Caenorhabditis elegans: one gene and its partners. The protein of the gene in region 1 interacts with the protein of each later gene in a pairwise test. Each region holds a gene or a part of one and is shown in the gene's direction. Other genes may lie near its edges.

Region 1 (6,034 bases):
GTCAAGATGGCACCCTTCATGGTAAAAGTATCTTTCACGTTTTTTTTTCTTCGCCGAGTATCTGAGTAGAGGGAGTTTCTCAACTTGTGCTCGTTTCTCTTAATCTAATTTCCCAGAACAACTTGGCGATTGTACTTCTTTTCTGAGACGTCGAACAAGTTTTCACACTCTTGTTAGAACACTTCACTTTGAAGGAATCTTACTATAAACTTTAGGTATCCTTAAAATTTTGATACTAATTGTAAAGACTAATTTTTCGAGTTTCTGGCTTAATATATTATTTTTGAAAAAAAAACGTTTTGTTTTATTTTAGTTCACCAAAACTCCCCTTCTCAAGATTTTTCAATTAGAATTGTGAAACTTATGAACATAAACTGAACAAGACACAAATTTCTCCTCAGGTTTAAAAAAACATTTGGAAAAAATTTGTTATTTTTGGTAAATTAATTTATATAACACTACTTATTGGTATTTTTATAAATAGTATAAATGCTGATAGGTTTCACAAAATGTCAATCTTTATTTGTTTTGTTGTGTTTGTTAACAAACTTGCTTTGTAGTCAATAAATTATCAATAAATATATAAATCTTATTAAATTTAATCTAAAGCTTTAAAATTCAAGAGATCTCTAACTTTTTAATTTTGTATTAAACTACTATTAACCGTTTTCACACTTTTTTTTCGAAATTAATATACACTTATTTTATTTATTTTTCAATTTCATTAACCCGAAAACATTTAATTTTATAATTCAGAATGATGAATTTACACCATCCGCAGCACCAGTCCAATTTCCATGAACAACACACGCCGTTTGCTGCTCCGATTCCAAATGGACACCACAACAACCACGTCTGCCTCCACAACAACAACAACAACAACAACTCCCAATATACTTGGAGTTACACGGTGAGCCAGCGTGGATGCGTGCGAGCAGCAGGCAAGATGCACATCTGCTCTTCGTCTGGGGCTTACGGCGTTGCACGAATATCGAATAGTGTTCATAGCGAATAGATGCGATTTTCTGAGTCCTGATCGATTTTCATTCAAATTTCCAATTTCAAATTTCAAGGTTTTATTTTTTCATTTAACTTTTTTCAATTTGCCAAAATCGTTGAAGTCTTTTGCTGGGTTTTGTTCAGTTCCAAAAGCAGCTGTGACAATATTATACATGTCTTTTATGTTAGGAAAAATATTATTGATCATGTATAATTTGATTGACTTTTACTATTCCAAGCACTAACTTCTATTTATAATTAAATCTTAATTTTACTTTCAATAAAACATTTCTGATGCAAATTATTTTTAAGACTTGCCATAGCCCAAAAATTAGCAACCAATTTCTCAATTCTCGGCCACCTGAGATTATGAAAACGCATCTGCTTATTTTTGCACCTGTTTTGTGTTTTCGACCAAACCATGACTAAAACTAAAATAATTTTTTTCATAAAATTGTATTTTATTTAGAAAAAAAAGACAATTTTAAAAATTCCGAAAAATTGCAATGAAAATGTTTTAATTTGCACTTTATAATTTTGAAAAAAAAATTGTAAAAAATGACGATTATTACGAAATAATATAAAAATACAGTTTAATTTTTTATATCTAATTTTCTAAACACTCGCAATACACAAAAAACTCATTATTTTCTAAATTCTACACTTGCTGAGTTATCAGAAACGATGTAAAAACCACGAACAGCAAGCGACGGTGGTGACCTCTGTCCTCTCGCTCACTATCCTTGTTGTTTGTTGCGCGCCTGCGTCTCGTTTTCTCGTTGCGCTGCGGCCGCGTCGCGTCCCCTCCGAGTGGTCGCATTTCTTACCGTATCGTTCTCATACCATAACCCTTTCTGCACTTGGCGGCAAGGTGAATAGTTTGAATTCGACGCTTCTTTCGCAATATCTAGCAGTCTCGAGCTGTTTTTAAGCTGTCTGAGGCAAATTTTGTCATGCTAACCAGAAGAAATGCTAAGCAGGTAACTAGATATCATTTCAAAAAAAATTTCTAAAATTTTTTGAAATCTCTTGAAACCCATGTTTTCATTTTTATTTCGCTTCTGTACTTTAACCTTTCCTTTTATAAACTCCTTTCAAATTTCAATTTATCGAATCTTTTATAAATTCCCTACTTTTTTAGACGTTCTCTACTTTCAGAGTCAACGGAATTCTGCGGATCAGTCCCTCTCTGAATTCAACAGTTCCAGTATGACTCACGGGTCGAATCAGTCAGTTTATCACCACAATCAACACATGGATGACTCCGAAATGATGATGGATGAGCAGGATTATTCTCAGGTACTCAAAAAAATTCTGAAACCATTTCAGGGGCATCATAATCAATTTCAGTATCAAATGGGGTTTCCTGAAGAAGATGAGATGGTGGAAGGAATGATGACCCCTCGAGCTGTGCACCAGTGTAATGTTTGCAACAAAATATTTGTTTCCTATAAAGGTAATTTTTTGAAAAATACGGTAGCTTTGTCTAACTCTGATTTTGTTTTCAGGTCTCCAGCAGCATGCAGTGATACACACAGATCAGAAGCCTTTCCGATGTGATATTTGTTCAAAATCATTTAGGTTTAAGTCGAACTTGTTTGAGCATCGTTCAGTCCATACCGGCTTCACTCCTCACGCCTGTCCATATTGTGGAAAAACTTGTCGGTTAGTGGTTTTTTTAAACAACATTCGCTGTGCTCTTTCAAATGTACAGTAATAAAAATGTGGCGGGTTGCGAAAACGACCGTTTCCCCTTAATTCTCATTCTCTCACAGTCGACTCTCCTCTGCTAATGCGCAGTACGGTGTGTACAGTGTACGGGCCGAGAAACGGTAGAGAAAAAGAGACGGACGAGAGACACCGTAATGCCATAGGCGACACTGTAGAACAATCGATAAAACGAAGAGAAATAGTGTTAGAATGGTGAAAAAGGCGTAGATAAGATGCATGCCGTACTCATTTCAAAACGGCACTCGTGACAGTAATCTAAATGTTGCGGGTAGAAAACACAAAAATATAATCAACAAAAATTATTTAGGCGATACGAGAAATAACAAACAAATTTTTTAAATTTTTTCAGACTGAAAGGCAACCTCAAGAAGCATCTTCGCACACACGTCACGACGAAGGAAGAGCTGGAAGCTGCCTGGAGGCCGTTTGCCAGGTTTGATCTTAACAAAAACGGAACGCCAGTATTGGCAAAATCTCGGTTCAGCAACCGTCGGCCGCCTGCTGACATCCCTGACGACGCCATCGTACTTCGTGGAGCCGGAGGACCGTACTACACGCCGCCGCCTCGTCCGAAGAAGAAGTAAGCAGACATCCAGCATGCACAATTAAAATGTGAGATTACCGAATGTTTTTTTTCAGGAAGCTTGGACTCGGAGAACCAGAGCACTGGGTGGACAAGTTGAGAAGAGGAGATCTTCTGCCACAAGTTGAGCTTGAGGACAAGATCAGACGTCTCGAAGACACTATCTTCAACAACATGTCTCTTGAGCGTTGGGGCAACCTTTTCGAGATTGCAAAGTCCATTGCATTCGAGACGTGAGTTTATTTATCCTTGAACTGAAAAGAAATCGGAGTGGAAAATGCCGTTTGAGCACATGAATTCTCAGAATTACGGTACATATTATATACATACCTGCTCTCCGTGCGTTTGAGAAAGATTTGACATCAATTCAAATTTTTTGCAACAGTTTCGCTACGAAATTTCGTCAAATTTTGATTGAATTATTATCTTAAAAGAGAGCGTACTTTATAATTTGTTTTAAAATGGCTGGAAGATTGTTGAAAGCATAGAAAGCATCAAAAAGTGAATGTAGGACTGAAAGTGAGTATAAGTATAATATCTGAAAAGCGCTCGGTGTGCGGCAAATTTGCCGAATTTGCCGAATTCATCGAATTCCGTAAATTTCAAAAATGTAGACTTGCCGAATCTGCCGAGCCCGGCAAATACTGAAATTTGCCGCACACATGAAACAATTTTTATAAAAATTTTGTACAAAACTAATGGTTTTGAACAGAAACCTAATGAAAGTAAACATAACATCGTGTTTCTTTTATTTTTTATTGAAGAAATCCACACGCGCATTAGGCAAAATTCGAACAAAAACCAGTAAACGTAGTTTATTTTTTAAATCAATTTTGGCCCTCTTTGAGCTCGAAAAATATTGCGATTTACTGAGTATGACAACCATGGCAAATTTGCCGAATTTGCCGCACACCCATGGTGCGATTCATTTCCTAATATATGCCTGGGTTTGTATACTTATTGAATTTTTTTGAACCAACTGAGTTGTAAGCTCCCAAAATCGAGCAGTGCATTACTAATAGAACTAATAGAACTATTATAATAGAAGAGAACACATTACACAGTTTAAATTAAAATTTTCATTAAACCTACCTAATTTCAGCCATGATTGTCCAGTGTGCAAGTCTCAATTCATGACCAGAATGGATTGTGTCAGCCATCACACACTCGAACACGAAAATCATCGGGAGGGTCTTGAATTTTTCTGCGAAGTGAGTTCTATAACGTTGTAATTTGAGTGGTTTTCTGTCTGTGGGATGATTGAAAATTTGTTATTATTGTTGGATTTACGATACAATATATATTTTTTCAGAAATGCTATAGACCATTTGCTGACGAGGCCAGCTACAATCAGCACATGAGCTACCACACGCGAGTTAGCAGTTTGATTGAAACTGGAGAAATTGTTGTACGTTTACAAAAGTTAATATTTGAACAAATAACTAAAGCTCACTTTTTTTTCAGCCTCAGCCAGCAGATCCGGAAATTTTGGTACCAACGAATGACGAGTTTCAAATGCTGTTTGGCGCAAACTTTGGCCAGCAGATGATGGAACCACAGTTGATTTGAAATTGATTATTATTATTGTTGCTTAGATAGAGTAATTCAGCTTGCGCACTTACCCATTTTTGACGCCTTCGATGACATTTCTTTCAACTTCTCTTATTCACCTTTTTCAAAACGGGGTACTTTTTTCTTCTTGTTTTTTTGGTTCTTTTCTTACCTCGGGGATTAGTATTTTTTGAAGATTTCCTACCCATTGACAGACAGACTTGCTCTTTCAATCATTTTTTTTTCCAAAATTGTAAGCATGCCGTTTATCATTGTTGGCATTGATCTACACCAGCGATATCTTGCTCCTTATTTCCATTTGTAATCCGTTGTTTTTTATTATTATAACCTAATGTATAACCTATTGAGGAGTTTGTATAGTCGTTGTAGTAGTCTTTGTTTGTTTTACCTTTTTTTCCCGTTGCCTGATTTCGTCTATTTTTATATATTCTTCTCTTTTGAGCCGATTGTATAGGTGTTCGATTAATATGAAGTGTCATAATTCAATTTATGGAGTGAATAATAAAATTTTGATACGTTTGAAACAAAATGGAATGAATAGCCTGGTATCCAGAATATGCAAATGCAAAAACTTGTTGAAGCGGTAGCAAGGATCAGATAATACAAATGAAAGTGGTTTGAAGTGAAGATTGGGAAGGAGTAGGACAACTTCCGGAACATACCGATCAGAGTTTTAGATAACACATGTTGTATATAAGACGGTAGTGGGGTACAACATTCATCAACCAAGTTTTTCTCCATTGTTTGTTTCGAGCAATGAGTTACAAAACTATGGAGTCGTCTTCGTCGACTGTCTCATTTGCAGTCATTCTTTCTGGAAGTGCTTTCTTGATTATGGTAACTGCTACTCCTGTCCTTTTCTATACTATGGGAGACATGACTGCTCAACTGGAAACTGCAAAAACTGGTTTTGAAGAGACTTCGAATGTGCTCTGGAAGGAGCTTGTTACGAATGAAAGCCACCGCAGAGTTGCAAGACAAACATGTAAGTGCAGATGTTAACGTTATCTGAAAATATTTGACAAATGAAAATTTAGACAAGGAAGGAGGAGCTGCTGGTGAGGGATCTCCTGCCGCTACAGCACCCGAAGCCAGCCCTGTGAAAATTGACGACTCTTGCCCAGCAGGACCAAAGGGTGAATCAGGATC
Region 2 (5,742 bases), on another chromosome or scaffold:
AAACAAACTGATATAAAATTAATAAAAATATAATTTAAAAAAAAATAGTGTCAAAGACTGTGAAGACTGTCCAAAAAATGTATAGCTTTTTCATCGGATCATTTCTGGAATTAGCACATTTTATTTATAGTAAATTAATTACAATTCAATTACACAATTTTTGAAATTTTTTCATCCATTTCCCATAAAAAATATTATAAAACAACATAAGTTGTTATATAGAATTTTAATCGTTAAAATTAAAATTGAAACTTCAATAACTCACCCCTTTTTCCACGATATCCGGCCGTTTTGTTTTCTCCAAAAGCATATGCAACTGATAAATTTGCTCGTTATCAAGAAGGTCTCCAAGATCATTCTTTGTAGTTAAACTTTCAGATTTCACGAAATCATTAAATTGTTCAATATCATAAGAGCAAGAGTCAAGGCAGTCAATACTTTCCGGGTATATATCTGCAGCTAATTGTGTAGATGCTTCTCGAAATTCATCAAACTTTGAGTTCATTAAAAAATGATCTAACGTATTTGAAACTTTTTTATCTAGTTTTGATCTCCATAATGTGCACTGATCAAGACGATTTACCAAATTGAAGCGGAATGTAACAATATCCTTTTCAGATAAAGGTGAATGAATAAATTCAAATTGTGGGATTATTATAGTAACAATTAGTATAAAATATAGTGACATGATAGAGTATGGGTCAAACCGTCTTCTCTAATTGAAAATGGAAAATAGTAGAAGTAAACGGAGACGGCGGTAAACCTGAAACGACGATCAATTACTTTCTGTGATCGAAAGAGAAAAGAAATGACGAAAAAGATATATAGATTACAAAGAAGGTCGTATTCTTTCACGAGTGTTATGATAATCATAATGATCGGAAAATGGGAAGAAGAAGAAGGAAGAATAATAAGAAAAAGAGGAAAAATAAACGAGGAAGAGGCTCTCTTATCAATCTTGTTCGAACAGGTGTTTTGATGTGACGCGTTCAATCAGTTCAATGATTTTCAACTCTTCGTCTCTTCATCTCATCCTGTCACTTGTCGCTTTTTGATATTTGATTTTTTGTTTTCGGATTTTTTGTGTGCTTCGTAGTTGCTCCGATGATGCCGGATTCAACATTTGAATGTAACATTTGAATTTTGAAATTGAAGGAATTCATTTGAATCTAAAGCTTGCAGGGTCAAGACCGATACATTCTTGCAACACATGACTCGAAAGTATGTAGGAAAAATTGAAGTTGGAAACTTGGAATTTGATGAAAAAGTACAGTAATCCATTCTCTCTTATTTCGCAACTTTCTTCGATTTTTGATTTTTCCTAGATTTTTTAAGCTAAAATTTTGCTGTTTTATTTTCATTTTTCATGCTTTTCAATTTCGGTTTTCAACAAAATTATGTTTTTCAGAGAAAATCTCGTGAACAATAACTCGGCTACTGTACCATTTAAAGGCGCACACCTTTTCGCGCAGCATTGATTTAAATTTTTTTGTTCGTGGCTCAACAGTGCAATGGACATCTAGATATCTGAAATTTTACCACTGAATTCAGTTCATTTTTTAAGCATCTTCAAAAATTTGCGTTTTCCTAATTTTCTTGTGATCGTTTTTTTTTTGAAAGTACAATCGTACATTATAAATAACTATTTTTCAATTCGAATAATTTAATTCAAGATCATTTCGCAAAATAATTGCCTTGAAACGTTATGCCGCGGTCAATTTTCAACCACCCTTGTTATTCTTTTTTGAATTGCCGCCCTTTTTCCCTGTGGCCGGCGCAGTGCGGCCGAGGTTGGTTTCTAGGCCAGCCGGCGCGTTTTATTTTTTTCGAGCATGATTTCACAATTATTTCTTGCATTTTTAAAGTTTTTTATTGATAAAATAGTAAAACTAACAACGGATAATATTATTTTAAAATTAAAAAACTAGTTTGTTCATTTTTGGATCGATTTTTAGATGTTGTTCATGGATTATGCACGCAAGAAAGTACTATCGTTCACATTTGATTGCTATATTATTGAATATTGAATTTTTCACACAAAATTGTACTATTTCCAGATATTTATCATGACCGAGCCGAAGAAGGAGATTATAGAGGACGAAAATCATGGAATATCCAAGAAAATACCAACAGATCCCAGGCAATACGAGAAAGTTACAGAGGGATGCCGGTTATTGGTCATGATGGCTTCACAAGAAGAAGAAAGTTAGTTTTTACATCTATTTAAACACATTTTCCAATTATTTTCAGGATGGGCCGAAGTTATTTCAAGATGCCGAGCTGCAAATGGTTCAATTAAATTCTATGTCCATTATATCGATTGCAACCGAAGACTTGACGAATGGGTTCAGTCTGATAGGCTCAATTTAGCGTCGTGTGAGCTACCAAAAAAAGGAGGAAAGAAAGGAGCACACTTGCGGGAAGAAAAGTGAGAAATCTATAAACTTTTCAAAAGATTTTAAATAGTTTTATCAATTCATAATTATTTCAGTCGAGATTCGAATGAAAATGAAGGAAAGAAAAGCGGCCGAAAACGAAAGATTCCACTACTTCCGATGGATGATCTCAAGGCGGAATCCGTAGATCCATTACAAGCAATTTCAACGATGACCAGCGGATCTACTCCAAGTCTTCGAGGTTCCATGTCGATGGTCGGCCATAGTGAAGATGCAATGACAAGGATCCGAAATGTCGAATGCATTGAACTAGGAAGATCACGAATTCAGCCATGGTACTTTGCACCTTATCCACAACAATTGACAAGTTTGGATTGTATTTATATTTGCGAATTTTGTCTGAAATATCTAAAGTCGAAAACTTGTCTGAAACGGCACATGGTGAGTGTTTCGAGTTATAGAAAATGACCGAATATAAATAACTGTTTTCAAAATTCAAAAATTTTCAATTTTCCAAAAATGAAAGAATCGGTGAATTCGAAAAAATTCGAGTTCTTGTGTGTTTTTGGCTGAATTTTTCGGTTTTTCTTGCTTTTTCCGTTGATATTAGTTTTGAAACAATGTTTTTAAAATTTTCCGGCATCGAAAAAAATCGCAAATTCTGGGAATTTGCTCCAAAAATTGCATTTTTGAAATACTTTTTTGCGAAAACGAAAAAAAAATTCACAAACGGTGTTTCAAACCAAATTTATCGTAATCAAAAAAGTTTCGCAAATAGGCCATTATTCTGCGTGGGAATTCAAATTAAAATCAGCTACTTTTTCTATTTTGCAAAATGGAAAAAAAACGTAAAAAATAGACAAATTTTTAATTTTTTAAACAATTACATTCGGTCCATACTCTTCATTTTCTATCATTTAATTAAAATGCCCAATTCTAATTAATTTTATTTCAGGAAAAATGTGCAATGTGTCACCCACCTGGCAATCAAATCTACAGTCACGATAAACTTTCATTTTTTGAAATCGACGGCCGCAAAAACAAAAGCTATGCTCAGAATCTATGCCTGCTTGCCAAACTTTTTCTGGATCACAAGACTCTTTACTATGACACGGATCCATTTTTGTTCTATGTGCTAACCGAAGAAGACGAGAAGGGTCATCATATAGTTGGATACTTTTCAAAAGAAAAAGAATCAGCTGAAGAATATAATGTTGCGTGTATTCTTGTGTTACCTCCATTTCAAAAGAAAGGATACGGAAGTTTGCTCATCGAATTCAGCTATGAACTCTCGAAAATTGAACAGAAGACAGGATCACCCGAAAAACCACTATCAGATTTGGGACTTCTCTCATATCGATCGTACTGGTCAATGGCCATCATGAAAGAGCTTTTCGCATTCAAAAGACGACATCCAGGCGAAGATATCACAGTTCAGGACATTTCACAAAGTACATCGATTAAACGAGAAGATGTTGTGTCAACGTTACAGCAACTTGATCTATACAAATACTATAAGGGATCATACATAATTGTGATTAGTGATGAAAAGCGTCAAGTTTATGAGAAACGGATTGAGGCTGCGAAAAAGAAGACACGAATTAATCCAGCAGCTCTGCAATGGCGACCCAAAGAGTACGGAAAGAAAAGAGTGAGTTTTTTTCAATCAAAAATTCGTGTTTACGGCTAAAAACTGAAAATTAAAATTAAATTAAATTCGTGATAACATTTTTTTTTCAAAAAACCAAAAAAAAACAATTTCGTTTTTGGCAGAACCAAAAAAAAAATTTAAAAAAAAACGGTTTACGCCCTATTTCATACAAACAACAGAAATTGCACTTTTTTGAGCAAATTTGACCCTACAATTTTTTTCCAGTTTTTTGCTCTTTTTCAAAAAAAAACACCTAAACACTGGAAATACTAAATACTAAGGAAAAAAATGGAAATACTGGTTTACAGTGTCAAAAAATTGAAATTTTCTAATAAAATCATTTTTCTTTTTACTAAATTTATCAAAAATTTATAACTCAAATCTTTCAGTTTTTGCGAATTTTTTTTCGAAAAAACGAAAAAAAATAAACCTAATTTTAACCAAATTGTAATTTTGAAAAATCTGGAACGTCCGGAAAACTGAAAAATTAAAAAAAAAACTTTTCAGAAATTTATTTTTAAAAAACCGTTTTTTTAAATCAAATTTTGTATATGTTGATGAGAAAAAAAAATAGAAATCAATGTTTTTAAGTTTTAAAAGAAAAATTTATTTTAATTATTTTAGTTTTAATAAGGTATTTAAACAGTAACAAGGATGTCGGTTTTTCGATTTTCCGAAAAACTAAAAAATTGTCTTTTTCGATTTTTTAATCGAAAAAAAATAGAAATATTTTCACAAAACATACTATTCTTCTAAAAAAAAGAATAGTGGCAGATTTTAAATAATTTTTGAACTCTCGCAATTTTTTTCGAAATATCCAAAAATCGAAAAACCGGCACAAAAGCAAAAAGTCTCCGGGAATATATCTTTAAATTATTTTATGAACTTTTTTTTCAGGCGCAGATCATGTTCTAGCAACAACGACATGTGTTCTCGCCACGACGATCTCAACCTGTACATTAAAATATAACACTCCGTTTTATCTCGCATCTACACACCGAAAAGCTTACGCTATCCCTTTATCATTCCCACACCGCTCAGAGAGCGTACGCCTCATTTCATTTCATTTGTTCTGTGTAATAATTTGACTTATTAGTCACTTATTTTTTTAATGAAATTATTCTTGAATTTCATAATCTTCTTGTTGCAGTTCAAATAATTAAAATTCATCATATAGACAAGTAAGTTTATAACTGCAAAAGTGAAGTTTTCTAATCATTAAGCGTTCTGAAGATATTCGGCAACCGCCTGAGCGATCAGATCACGGCGGGAACGAGTTGAGGCGTAGACATGCTTGCAGCCAGTGACAACCTGAAAGATATTCAAAAAATTAATTTCAGGACTCGAATTTTTAACAATCTGAATAAAAAAATCCAAAATTGTATATTATAGAGTTTTTTGAAATCTAAGCGAAAGCGCGCTCCAATGTAAAACGAAAAGTGCTCCGCCCCTAAACGTTGGGTCCCGTTAGGAATTTGTTATTTTTTCGGTTATTTCTGACTATATTATAATTTCGAAACGACAAGTATTTTAAACATCATTTCGACATAAAAAATATGTAAAACAACAAAAAACAATCGAAAAAATAGTGAAAAAGTTTGAATTTACAGTCTCGCCGCCTCCTACCGAGACCTAACGTTAGGAGGCGGAGCGTTTTCCTTTGGCATTGAAGCGCGCTTGCTGCGGCCCCATAAT
Region 3 (4,517 bases), on another chromosome or scaffold:
TCATTTATTCTACAATTCTCTTAATTTATAAAAATTTAGTAATATTTCAGATACTTCGACGACGTGAAAGCCATTTGAGACTTCAGCAGCAGCCAATTGTCACTGGTGAGTTCTTTTATTGGTTAAAATTTAATATTGAAAATCGATAAACTAAAAAACTCTGCATAATTAAATAGTAAATTCGTGTTCAATTTCGTTCTTTCCGAAAAACAATGTTGAATTCAATCGTCGACTGAATTTCTGATTTTTTTTTCTGAAAAGATATCACATTTTCTATTAATTCTAAGTAGTCTGAACCAGCTGGGCGACAATTCCAATTTCGCTATTTTGACAGTTAAACAATTGCGGAAAATACTGAGTTATCGAAAGTTCATCAATTCATCAATTTCCAAAAATGCCGATTGCTGGGAAATTGAAAATTCTCTAAAAATGTTCATATCCAAGAAGAAAATCTGAAAATCTGTAAATTTTTATAAGTTAATATACAAAGAAAAATTAGATAAATCTTTTGCCACAAAAACTTCACTGCTGTACGAATTAAATTTTCTTTCATTTGTAGATTTTTTTCAAAATATTTTAAATGTGCACAAGACATTTGGCCAAATTTTTAACTTGATCAATGTCGATCAATATATTTGCCGAAAATGTTCTTTTGCCGCCCATCCTGGTCTGAACTTAAAAATGTTTGCGCAAATTTGCCTCTAAGTTTTTTTTCTAGTAAATTGGAGAATAAAAATTCGCAAAAAGATCTCAATCACCTCATAGGCAACAATTGCAAAAATATCCGTTCAATAATTCTTTATGCAAATACTGAACAGTTAAGATAATTTCATCATTTCAATATCTCGACTTTGCTTCACAAAAGAACAATCAATAATTCGACGGCAAGCTGACAAATCAGCCATCTATCCATCTGTCCGTCTGTCCACACAAAAACATACAAATCGAGTATGCGGAGGAGGAGTCTATGTTCTTTCCCTCAACTCTCTGCTTCTCTCATCTTCTCTTCCCTCTCATCTCGGCCCGTACAGCTGCATCAAAGACTCTCAAACATCGGCGCGGCGCGGGCGCACGCTAAATAAAAGGGGGAAAAGGTAGTGAAACGACACGTGGAGACGCAGAACAAGCAGCGGGTACCGTAGTCGCGCAGACCTGCGAATCACCGATTTGTCCGCTGTATATAAAGGAGGGAAGAACGCGAGGTCTGCGTGTGATCGGCCAGCGCCTTTCTGCTCCTATTCTCCGTTTTTCCCCCTTCTATCTCCTCTTTATACACTATTTCCCTTAGATTCTCTCGTCTCCTCACCGAAGCGCTCAATCACTCGTCTTTACGCGCTCTCCTCCAGTCCTGGCCAGTAGATGTGTAAGTGTGTGTGTGTGCGTTGACATCGAATCGAATCGACACGACGCAGAATGGAATAAATGGCGTTATCATTAAAGAATGAAATAACCAAAATGAAAGCGAGAAATAGAAAAAAGGAAGATACCATCACGCCTCTTTTTTGTTATCAATTGTTGTACTGATGTGATGATCTATATTGTTATAGTGATCGATGAGACCCGAACGGCTGTGTACATACAGAACATATAGAACATAACACACTTGTTGCGAAACGGAGTTGCTCTAACGGGAAATGAAATATAACAAAATCTAATTATCTGAATCCCTTTGTTACTGAGCACAGAATATTTTAATAATTCCAATCAATATCAAATAGTGACCATTAATTTTAGAAAAAAAAGTTTGCGTTGATTATTCATGGGCTCTAAATGTCTTTTCCAAAGTTGTTAAGAGAGCTTCTATGAATGAAACATCATGTCCTTCTTTCATGGTTCAATAATCTCTCATTTCATCGCTTTACCTCAAGAGTATTATACAGTAGCTTCCAACTTTCAGTTAGTCTCAGGCCCATCATCGATGACGTCTTCGGAATAGTTCTATATCTCTCGAAAACCACCCGTTGTTCGTTCTTTCTCTCTCTCATTTTGTGCCTCCAAATCTCCACAACATCGTCTTCTCTCGTCAGCAACGTTTCCGTCGGAGACACTGACACTTTTGGAAGGAAACCAGAGAATACATATTTCGAGAGAGGAGAAAACAAGATGGATCAGAATAGAGGAAGCGATGTTGGCTTTGCGGTGCCGATGTTACCCGTCAATTATGCATCGGCTACTCGTTAGTTTTGACCTTATCTTTTAGGGTGGATGGAACAAAAAAGAAACTCGATTATAGATAATCGGAAAACGTACATTCATAAAATCTTAAAATGAAAGCTTATTTATTTTCAAAAACCCTTAATTTGTTTTGGGTAAAACCGTCAGTATCCGGCATCATTTCTGGATCATGAACTATCTAGAAACTTCAAAAAATATGCGACTTAAAACAATTTGTAGATGTAATATCTAAGAATTAACAGATTAGGATCAAATCGTTATTTAAATTTATTTTTCAGAAAAAATGTCAACGTTGGCATCCACTTCATCAGCCGGTGCTTCATCATCAACAGGTAGCAGCAACCAACAGCAGCAACAGGCAGCTGCTGTGATCCGAAGACGTCGTTTCAGCACTGCAAAAATTCAGCCAACACGCATAAAGAAGGTTATGCAAAGTGATGAGGATATCGGAAGAATGGTTCAGTCAGTTCCTGTCAGCATCGGAAGAGCAATGGAGCATTTTGCGGAGAAGTTTTTACAGGTGAGAAGACTCAGTCATAGTTATTTTGAACCTTGAATATATATTTGAGGCTGCCGCAGAAGCTACTCAATTCACATCTTCAAAGACGCTAAACCCTCAACACATGAAGCAGGCGGTTCTCAACACTCCACACTTTTCATTTCTAGAATCAGTCTTCAAAGATGTTGCACTTCCACAGCAAGCATCTGAATTGAATACTGCACGTACCGGCATGACATTGAGAGGACAGCAAATGCTCCAAGAGCAACAAAATTCAGATTTTGCTAGTGCAATTCTTGCCAATGCGCAGATGCAAATGATGCAAATGGATCAACAAGCATTGAAACAAGAAGATGGAACTATTTCTCCTTATTTAGTTGATCCGCAATCCCCAGCAGCACCACTTCCACTTTATCTTCAAGGGATTCCATCCAATTATCCAGTAGTTCAAGAACTCACAGCCACCGTACCACTTTCTCCTAGCACTCCGACAACTCAACTCGTAAATGGTATGCTAGGAATGCTCAAATACTCGAAAAAAGATTCTGAAGGACAACGTCTCACAGGATTAAAACGAGCATCTACTGATGGTGATGGAGAAGACAGACCAAAGCGAGGACGCCCAAAGAAGTTAAAACCTGAAAAATGTATTGATGATGATCTCTACGAGGAAGCTTCTAGGAATATAGCCAAGGTAATATTTGAAAAGTTTAGACATAGAATCAAAATGTTCTAAAGATGTAATTTGATTTACGGTTCTGTGATCCTTTTGATCTAAAGCAAAATTATCATTTTCAGGAAGACAAGGATCGCGAGTTGATGCCTCCTCCAGCACTGCCTATTGGCCGTCCGTGATCCTCACTTCTCTATGAGAAATTTTATTCTTCTCCTAATCGTGTACTTTTCAATGGTCTCGTTGCCCTCCATTTCTGATCTAAATTTCTCCTTTTCTATTGCTCCAAGTTAAGAAAAAAAAAACAAATCCTCACCGGGTCTACCCTATTCTCTATTTCTCTTGTTTTATTCATTTTTTGTCGTTCACTGGCAAATCAAAATTTAATCACTTCGATGTTCTCCCAATATGAACCATTACCGACCCACACCTTCATAAATCAGGATGCTCGTCGCTTTTCATTAAACCTTCCAAATGTTCTCTGTCATATGTTTAACTTGTTTTGCTCTTTGTCTCTCTAATTCAATTTTTCTCTTCATTTTTATATTTGTCATGCTTTAGAATTCAATTTCCGTTTTTGTAGTATTTAATATAAAAATTATTCAACCAGAAAACGTATATTTCCGACAGAAAAGACCACTAAACTCGCGCAACAACTAGAGCGATCTACATTATATTAGTATTCAGCTAAATTATGGATCTGAGCGAAGATGAAGATTTATTAAACATTGAAGAAGAAGGGGAAAATGAGAGCCAAAAAGAAGAAGTAGATTCTGTAATTGTTGGTTTGTAATATTTTGTCCAATTTAAACAAAAAAGGAAGTTCAGAAGATATTCGACGTCGTCTTTTCGATGTATTCAAGATGTTTGACGAGGATTCTGATGGTTTGATTGAAGTGAGGATTACTGTAGTTACTGTTGAAACTTGGCTTTTCACGTGGTGCTTTTCTCCAACTTTCTACTCATTTATATCATTAAGAACCGGATCAAATAGACATTCCACCTAGTGTAGGCGTCACGGGGAGCCTATTCCCGCCTTCCCACTCGCCTTCCTCGCGCCCTTCAGTAGGGTGAGTGAAGAGGCGAACACGCCTCGAGTGCATGAAGTTATTTTTCATACTTCATAAACTCTTAAATGTTTCTCCTGGCTCTTCCAATTAGTAGGAGCGT
Region 4 (5,308 bases), on another chromosome or scaffold:
CGGCGTAGAGAACAGTTTGTACAATTCCGGCAACAACGACAATTGGATCGAAATAGTCCTCGGTGTAGTAGCGGTAAATCCAGTTGAAAATGTAGAGAGCGCGGTAGGAGCCAAGAGCGAACAAGTAGTGAGCAGTGATGACCTGGAAGAAGAAACGATGAATATGGGAGAGAGATAGAAGGCTCAATTTGTGGCCTGGTGTCTGCGTCTCTACACCAAAATGTCTAATCCAAAAGAAATTAAGAAAAAAAGATGTCGAGTGTTTGCAAACAACACAGTAAAACTTATGAAAAGAATGGATTAACTTTCAGTCAAATTTCATCAGGTTGTTATATTAGCAAAGTTAAAAGGCTGACGAATCAATTTGGACTACAGCGGAGATGTGCGCGAAATTCGGAATACGGGGAAAACGGTTGGAATCGGGAGAAACGACAATTTCTAAGCACAACAATTTTCTTGTACTATCTCCAATTTTGCCATCTCTGGATTTTACACTTTTTTACGGCATGTCGAATTGAGAGGGAAAATTTTGCACGCTGAAGTCAAATTTGGCGCATTTATTGTATTATTTATTATTTTCCAGATTTACCTCAGCGGAACCGGTAGACTGGAGAAGGAAGAGTTGTGGAAGAATGGCCACAGCCTCCAAATAGATCGAAAAAGTCCAGAGCAACTCAAATGGAGCGAAATCGTGATTGATGAGAAGAGCGAGGATCGCAGCTGGGACGATGAGAAGCTCGACACGGAAGGTATCCGACTCGCGCATGTAAGTTGAGCGGAATTTGAAGAACATCAGATACACTGTGGCGTACGTAGCGGCGAGGAAGGTGATCTGAAATTTGATTGTATTTATAATTGTTACGGACAGAAAGTTACCTTCATTGTAGTGTTATACAAAGAAATGTATGTGGAGAAAAGATCCAAGTATCGAGCAGTGAACACGAGAGCGAACAGAATCTGCGACCGCGCAGAGATTCCGGAGCACGATCTGCTCTTCCAGATTTTGAGCAGAAGGATGATAATCGCAAGCAAGTGCGACATATCTGCCGATATACGGAAGATGTTCATGATGACCCTAAAAATTATCATACTTTGAGAATTTAGATACATACATCAGGTAAAGAAAAGAAAACGCAAATATGAAATGAATTGGAAAACACCTATTCATTCCAGTGAATGGGTATGTTTTCAATTATCGAGGTCAACGTTGTTTATCAAAAGATAACGGATAGAGTGATAGGGAACAGAGAAAATTATATTATATGGACGGTAAAGTTCCGGAGAACGAACAGAAATGGTTTAGAGTTTTCCTTTCGCAGACAAAAAAGAGTGCAATAAAAGCCAGCACTGAATGTGCCACGTGGGAATTTTGAAAAATGCAAATACAACGCAACGAAGCTAAAAAGGTTTACTGAAAAAAACTAAAAAATGGAACTTAAAACATAAAGACAAAATTTTTAAACATTGAATGCAAAAACTACGTGTATTTACAGTTAAAAAACACATAACCCTGCATTCAACAAAAAAACAAACATTTCGATTCGCTAGGTAAAATGCATGGAAATATTCTATGAAAACTAGAATGTTTGAATAGAGCATTTTGTTCGAACGTTCTGAATACCGAATGTTTTTTTTTTGTTTTCGAAAGACCTAGATTTTCTAAAATTGTAGGCCTACATGAACTTTTCAACCATTTTTTGGTATTCACATAATGCGTAGCTACATATTAATCAATTATCGCAAAAAATTTAAACTGTTTAATTGAAAAACGAAACGTTTTAGGCCGGAAACGAAGAAGAAAACTCGAGCCAAAAGGTCCATCAGCCAACGAGTCCACGCTGGACAATACGCAATTTCGCGTGTTGGTGTTTGCGTACATCGGCAGCTGTCCAATTTATCGATCAGTGTTCATTCATTCTCTTGTTTTTTTTGTTTGTTCACACCGGGCGCCCGATTTCTTGAGCTATCAAAATGTTTAAAAATAATCCAAGACAGCTAATCTTACAGACAATGATCTCGGAAAACGGATATATGGACCTGATGCGGAACTGCATTAAATGGAATTCCCGGCAAATGGAGGATCGTAAAAAACGGTTAGTTATTGATGTTTCGGCTACTTAAAAAAGATCCATTTGAAATCTGAATAATCTAAGTAATGATAAATCTTTAGAGCATTTAGGAATTATTTTTTGGTTGTACTAAGCCCCTAAAAGTTGCAGACTGCGGTTCCCATACTATGAACATCAAACGGCTACGGCCCAGCGAGAGTCTCGCTTCACAACCCGCAACGTGGATCACATGTATCCATCAAATGATCCAAATACTGTTGTTCAATTCGCAACCGAGAGATGGAAGAAGAGCAAGTCACAGCCACCATCTGATGCTGTTGAGATGAGCATGTTTTTGCGTGAGAATCCGTCTATTCAGGTTGCAATTGATCATCTCACTCCACAAGTTGTCGGACCAACAACTGGTGAGAAGCATCAGAACGATTCAACCTAATTTTTGTAGTTCGATTTGCAGAAAGTGTTTCTGATAGTTCGAACGACTCAACTACCATCAGACCATCCCGCCAAACACAGATCAAAGAGGAATATCGTGATGACTACGTTCTTGACGATGAGCTCTCTCCAGACGAGTTTGGCTCCGATGAAGATGATTGGTCGTCGCGTAAACGCCGTAAAGGCAACTTGGGGCCTGTTCAGAAAGCAACTTCGTCACGTAAAAAGGTTTCTTTATTTATTCAATTGTTTAAATAATTTTATTCTGACTGTTTAGGTACCAACAACTCGTTCCTCTGTCTCTCGATTGACCCCATCTCGTTCCATAGTGAAGGAAACAAAATATGAAGAACCGGAGGAGAAGACGTATCCATGTGACAGTGAGTGGTTGTACGGCGGATTAGCGAAGCCCTCTCGCCCAGGAGAACACACCATTCTTCTTGTCCTTTTTAGTCTTATTTGCCTCCCCCATCGCCCACAGCATGTCAGTTACCGGGAACACTATCATCATGATTTTTAGTTTAATTTTTCGTATCTTGATTCATTCGGTTTCGAGATTTTTCAAAAAATTAGGATGCTTGGAAATTGCACGAGATTATTTATGTTTTTGCATGCTTTAGTTTTTTTTTTAATTATGCATGTTTCTCCAGAGATCCAAGGAAAATTAAATCAAAAAAATGGGAAATTTGGTCTAAAAAATAAATTTTGGAAGATTATGTATGATCTTTTTTTAATATTAGTTTCATAATTAGTGGTGTGATTTGTAGTACTTCTTCACATAATTGTGGATCTTATCAAATGTATTAGCTTCCTTCCTCTCGTTATCAATTTGCACTAAGTCATAAGCCAATATGTATCCTGAATATCCCATTCTTATATCCCTCCTAGTATTTTATCCCTCTGTAAAAGAAACCTGGGCGAGAGGGACCTCAGTAAAAAATCCTGCGGCAACCGCTCAACTGATCAAAAATACATCTCTCCCACCCGGGACACGGGGTCTATCGAGAGGAAGTTTGTAGAAATATAGGCACTAAATTTAGCATGTACTGAGTGTTCCTGGAAGCTTATATGATGTGGCATAATGGGAAATCTGTGATTTGAAAATACTCTTTTCAAACCGCATATTTCCCAAGTCCTTTCGTTTGTAATTTAAAATTTTTGATAATTTTCAGAATGCAGCGCGAAATACAAAAGCCTCGCGGGTTTAAGCTATCATCAGTCGTATCTTCATGATCAAAAGTCTAGTCAACCACTGGTTAAGTGTAAGTTTTTTGCATTCCAAGCTATTTTCAAATGTATTATTTTTCAGTATTGTCTCCCAGTATAGAAATATCTACTAGCTGTGATTTCTGCAGCGGCACTGCTTTTATGAACAAAAATACAAAATTGCCAGAGGATCTCGTTAGTTGTCATGATTGTGGTCGTTCTGGTCATCCTTCCTGTCTTAATTTTAATCAAAATGTGACCAAAATCATAAAAAGAAGCGGATGGCAGTGTCTTGAGTGCAAGAGTTGCACCATTTGTGGTACAAGTGAAAATGATGTAAGATATTTTCTATTATATTTATAAAGTGCAATATTAATTGGATTTCAGGATAAATTGCTCTTCTGTGACGACTGTGATCGTGGATACCATCTTTATTGTCTGACTCCGGCGCTCGAAAAAGCTCCAGATGATGAGTATTCATGTCGGTTATGTCAAGTTGAATTCGGAGACAAAGCGAGTGCACCGGCCAAGAAGTAATGGTTCTCAAATATTATATTTATTCCAATATTTTTTGCATAATCTCGACCCGTTTGCTTACGATCCTCCCACACCGTCATCCGATTATTTATTCTTCATTTTCACTTGAACTTTAAGTATTATTATTACTACGTAATGGCTCATACATAGAGAAAAATTCTTGTTCTAAAAAGCCAGCCTAAAACCTCACTCACCCCTCCTTCTGCTACTTTGATTTCTCGCTCTTTTCTTTTTTGTACTTCCACATTTTCCTCGTCCTTTTTATTTATTTCAGTCTTATCATAAAAAAGTTCAATAAATACTATGATTCAAAATAAAACACATGTGAAGAAACTCGAACAATATTGGAAGTTTCAAAGAATCAAACGGAACATTGAAAATTCTAATTCAAATTACTATTTTCCAGTTTAATTGACAATTTTTTTTATTAACATCTTGGAGTACGATACAAGGTCTTACAACGATCGAATATATCCAAATGAAAAGAGATAGGCACCTTTAAGAAGTACAGTAACCTTCACGGCCCACTGTTTTGCAGTTTTCTTTCATTTAAGCTAGTTAAAAATATATATAATTGTTTAATTTTAGATAAATATTGTCACATCCAATAGGTTTTTAGAGTAAAAATTACAACAAATAAAATTGCAAAACCATGGGGCGTGGAGATTATATTTGGTCTTGTCGAGACCTGGTACTGTATTTTTAAGTGAAAATTGCAAACTTTCGTATCTGGGTAATATATCTAGTTTTAAAAAATCTAAAATTATCGTTTTAGAATGTTTAATTTACTTTGGTTGTTTCATAAAAAGAGAATTAACTGTTTGTATTCATTTTATTATCATTTTATCATCTTATCTGACCTACTACCATATAAATACCATAACATTATTTTATAACTTTCTCTATTCTTCTCTCTTCCAATATCTTTCACCCATTTATTTTACTTATTCATCGCCCAATTTTATGTCCCTTCTACTCTCCATTCTTTTTTGTCTTTTACTTGAAACAACACATATCGATTACACAATTGTGTTCTTTCTTAGAAATAAAAAAAAACATTTTTG

Evidence for each region.
Region 2: the proteins of lsy-2 (region 1) and mys-1 interact in a two-hybrid assay, tested with the Caenorhabditis elegans proteins (one large-scale study listed by BioGRID).
Region 3: the proteins of lsy-2 (region 1) and drap-1 interact in a two-hybrid assay, tested with the Caenorhabditis elegans proteins (one large-scale study listed by BioGRID).
Region 4: the proteins of lsy-2 (region 1) and dpff-1 interact in a two-hybrid assay, tested with the Caenorhabditis elegans proteins (one large-scale study listed by BioGRID).

The regions. Positions count from the first base shown.
Region 1 is NC_003284.9:2,087,848-2,093,881, forward strand, and holds lsy-2 (Zinc finger protein lsy-2), read left to right. Parts: upstream 1-1,856; 5' UTR 1,857-1,952; coding exon 1,953-1,979; intron 1,980-2,157; coding exon 2,158-2,298; intron 2,299-2,349; coding exon 2,350-2,455; intron 2,456-2,507; coding exon 2,508-2,664; intron 2,665-3,079; coding exon 3,080-3,163; intron 3,164-3,214; coding exon 3,215-3,310; intron 3,311-3,369; coding exon 3,370-3,546; intron 3,547-4,415; coding exon 4,416-4,524; intron 4,525-4,625; coding exon 4,626-4,721; intron 4,722-4,777; coding exon 4,778-4,882; 3' UTR 4,883-5,406; downstream 5,407-6,034. Other genes in the region: col-164 (Nematode cuticle collagen N-terminal domain-containing protein), read left to right, coding at 5,642-5,870, 5,923-6,034. UniProt on the Caenorhabditis elegans protein: Involved in transcriptional regulation. Required to specify left-right asymmetry of the ASE gustatory neurons, probably acting upstream of microRNA lsy-6.
Region 2 is NC_003283.11:7,080,978-7,086,719, reverse strand, and holds mys-1 (Histone acetyltransferase Tip60 homolog), read left to right. Parts: upstream 1-2,057; 5' UTR 2,058-2,066; coding exon 2,067-2,205; intron 2,206-2,250; coding exon 2,251-2,428; intron 2,429-2,491; coding exon 2,492-2,837; intron 2,838-3,351; coding exon 3,352-4,047; intron 4,048-4,944; coding exon 4,945-4,962; 3' UTR 4,963-5,175; downstream 5,176-5,742. Other genes in the region: VC5.2 (Laminin EGF-like domain-containing protein), read right to left, coding at 266-688; npa-1 (Polyprotein allergen nematode domain-containing protein), read right to left, coding at 5,266-5,358. UniProt on the Caenorhabditis elegans protein: Probable catalytic subunit of the Tip60 chromatin-remodeling complex. Plays a role in acetylation of nucleosomal histone H4 and perhaps also H2A, probably acting as a component of the Tip60 histone acetyltransferase complex.
Region 3 is NC_003283.11:9,730,062-9,734,578, forward strand, and holds drap-1 (Transcription factor CBF/NF-Y/archaeal histone domain-containing protein), read left to right. Parts: upstream 1-1,897; 5' UTR 1,898-2,103; coding exon 2,104-2,176; intron 2,177-2,453; coding exon 2,454-2,695; intron 2,696-2,744; coding exon 2,745-3,368; intron 3,369-3,472; coding exon 3,473-3,529; 3' UTR 3,530-3,961; downstream 3,962-4,517. Other genes in the region: cal-7 (EF-hand domain-containing protein), read left to right, coding at 4,042-4,132, 4,176-4,243.
Region 4 is NC_003281.10:5,902,818-5,908,125, reverse strand, and holds dpff-1 (Zinc finger protein dpff-1), read left to right. Parts: upstream 1-2,003; 5' UTR 2,004-2,010; coding exon 2,011-2,093; intron 2,094-2,219; coding exon 2,220-2,473; intron 2,474-2,511; coding exon of another isoform or gene 2,512-2,523; coding exon 2,524-2,729; intron 2,730-2,778; coding exon 2,779-2,881; intron 2,882-3,673; coding exon 3,674-3,763; intron 3,764-3,810; coding exon 3,811-4,043; intron 4,044-4,094; coding exon 4,095-4,244; 3' UTR 4,245-4,563; downstream 4,564-5,308. Other genes in the region: ER lumen protein-retaining receptor erd-2.2, read right to left, coding at 1-142, 590-832, 877-1,068. UniProt on the Caenorhabditis elegans protein: Probable transcription factor, involved in meiosis and stress protection.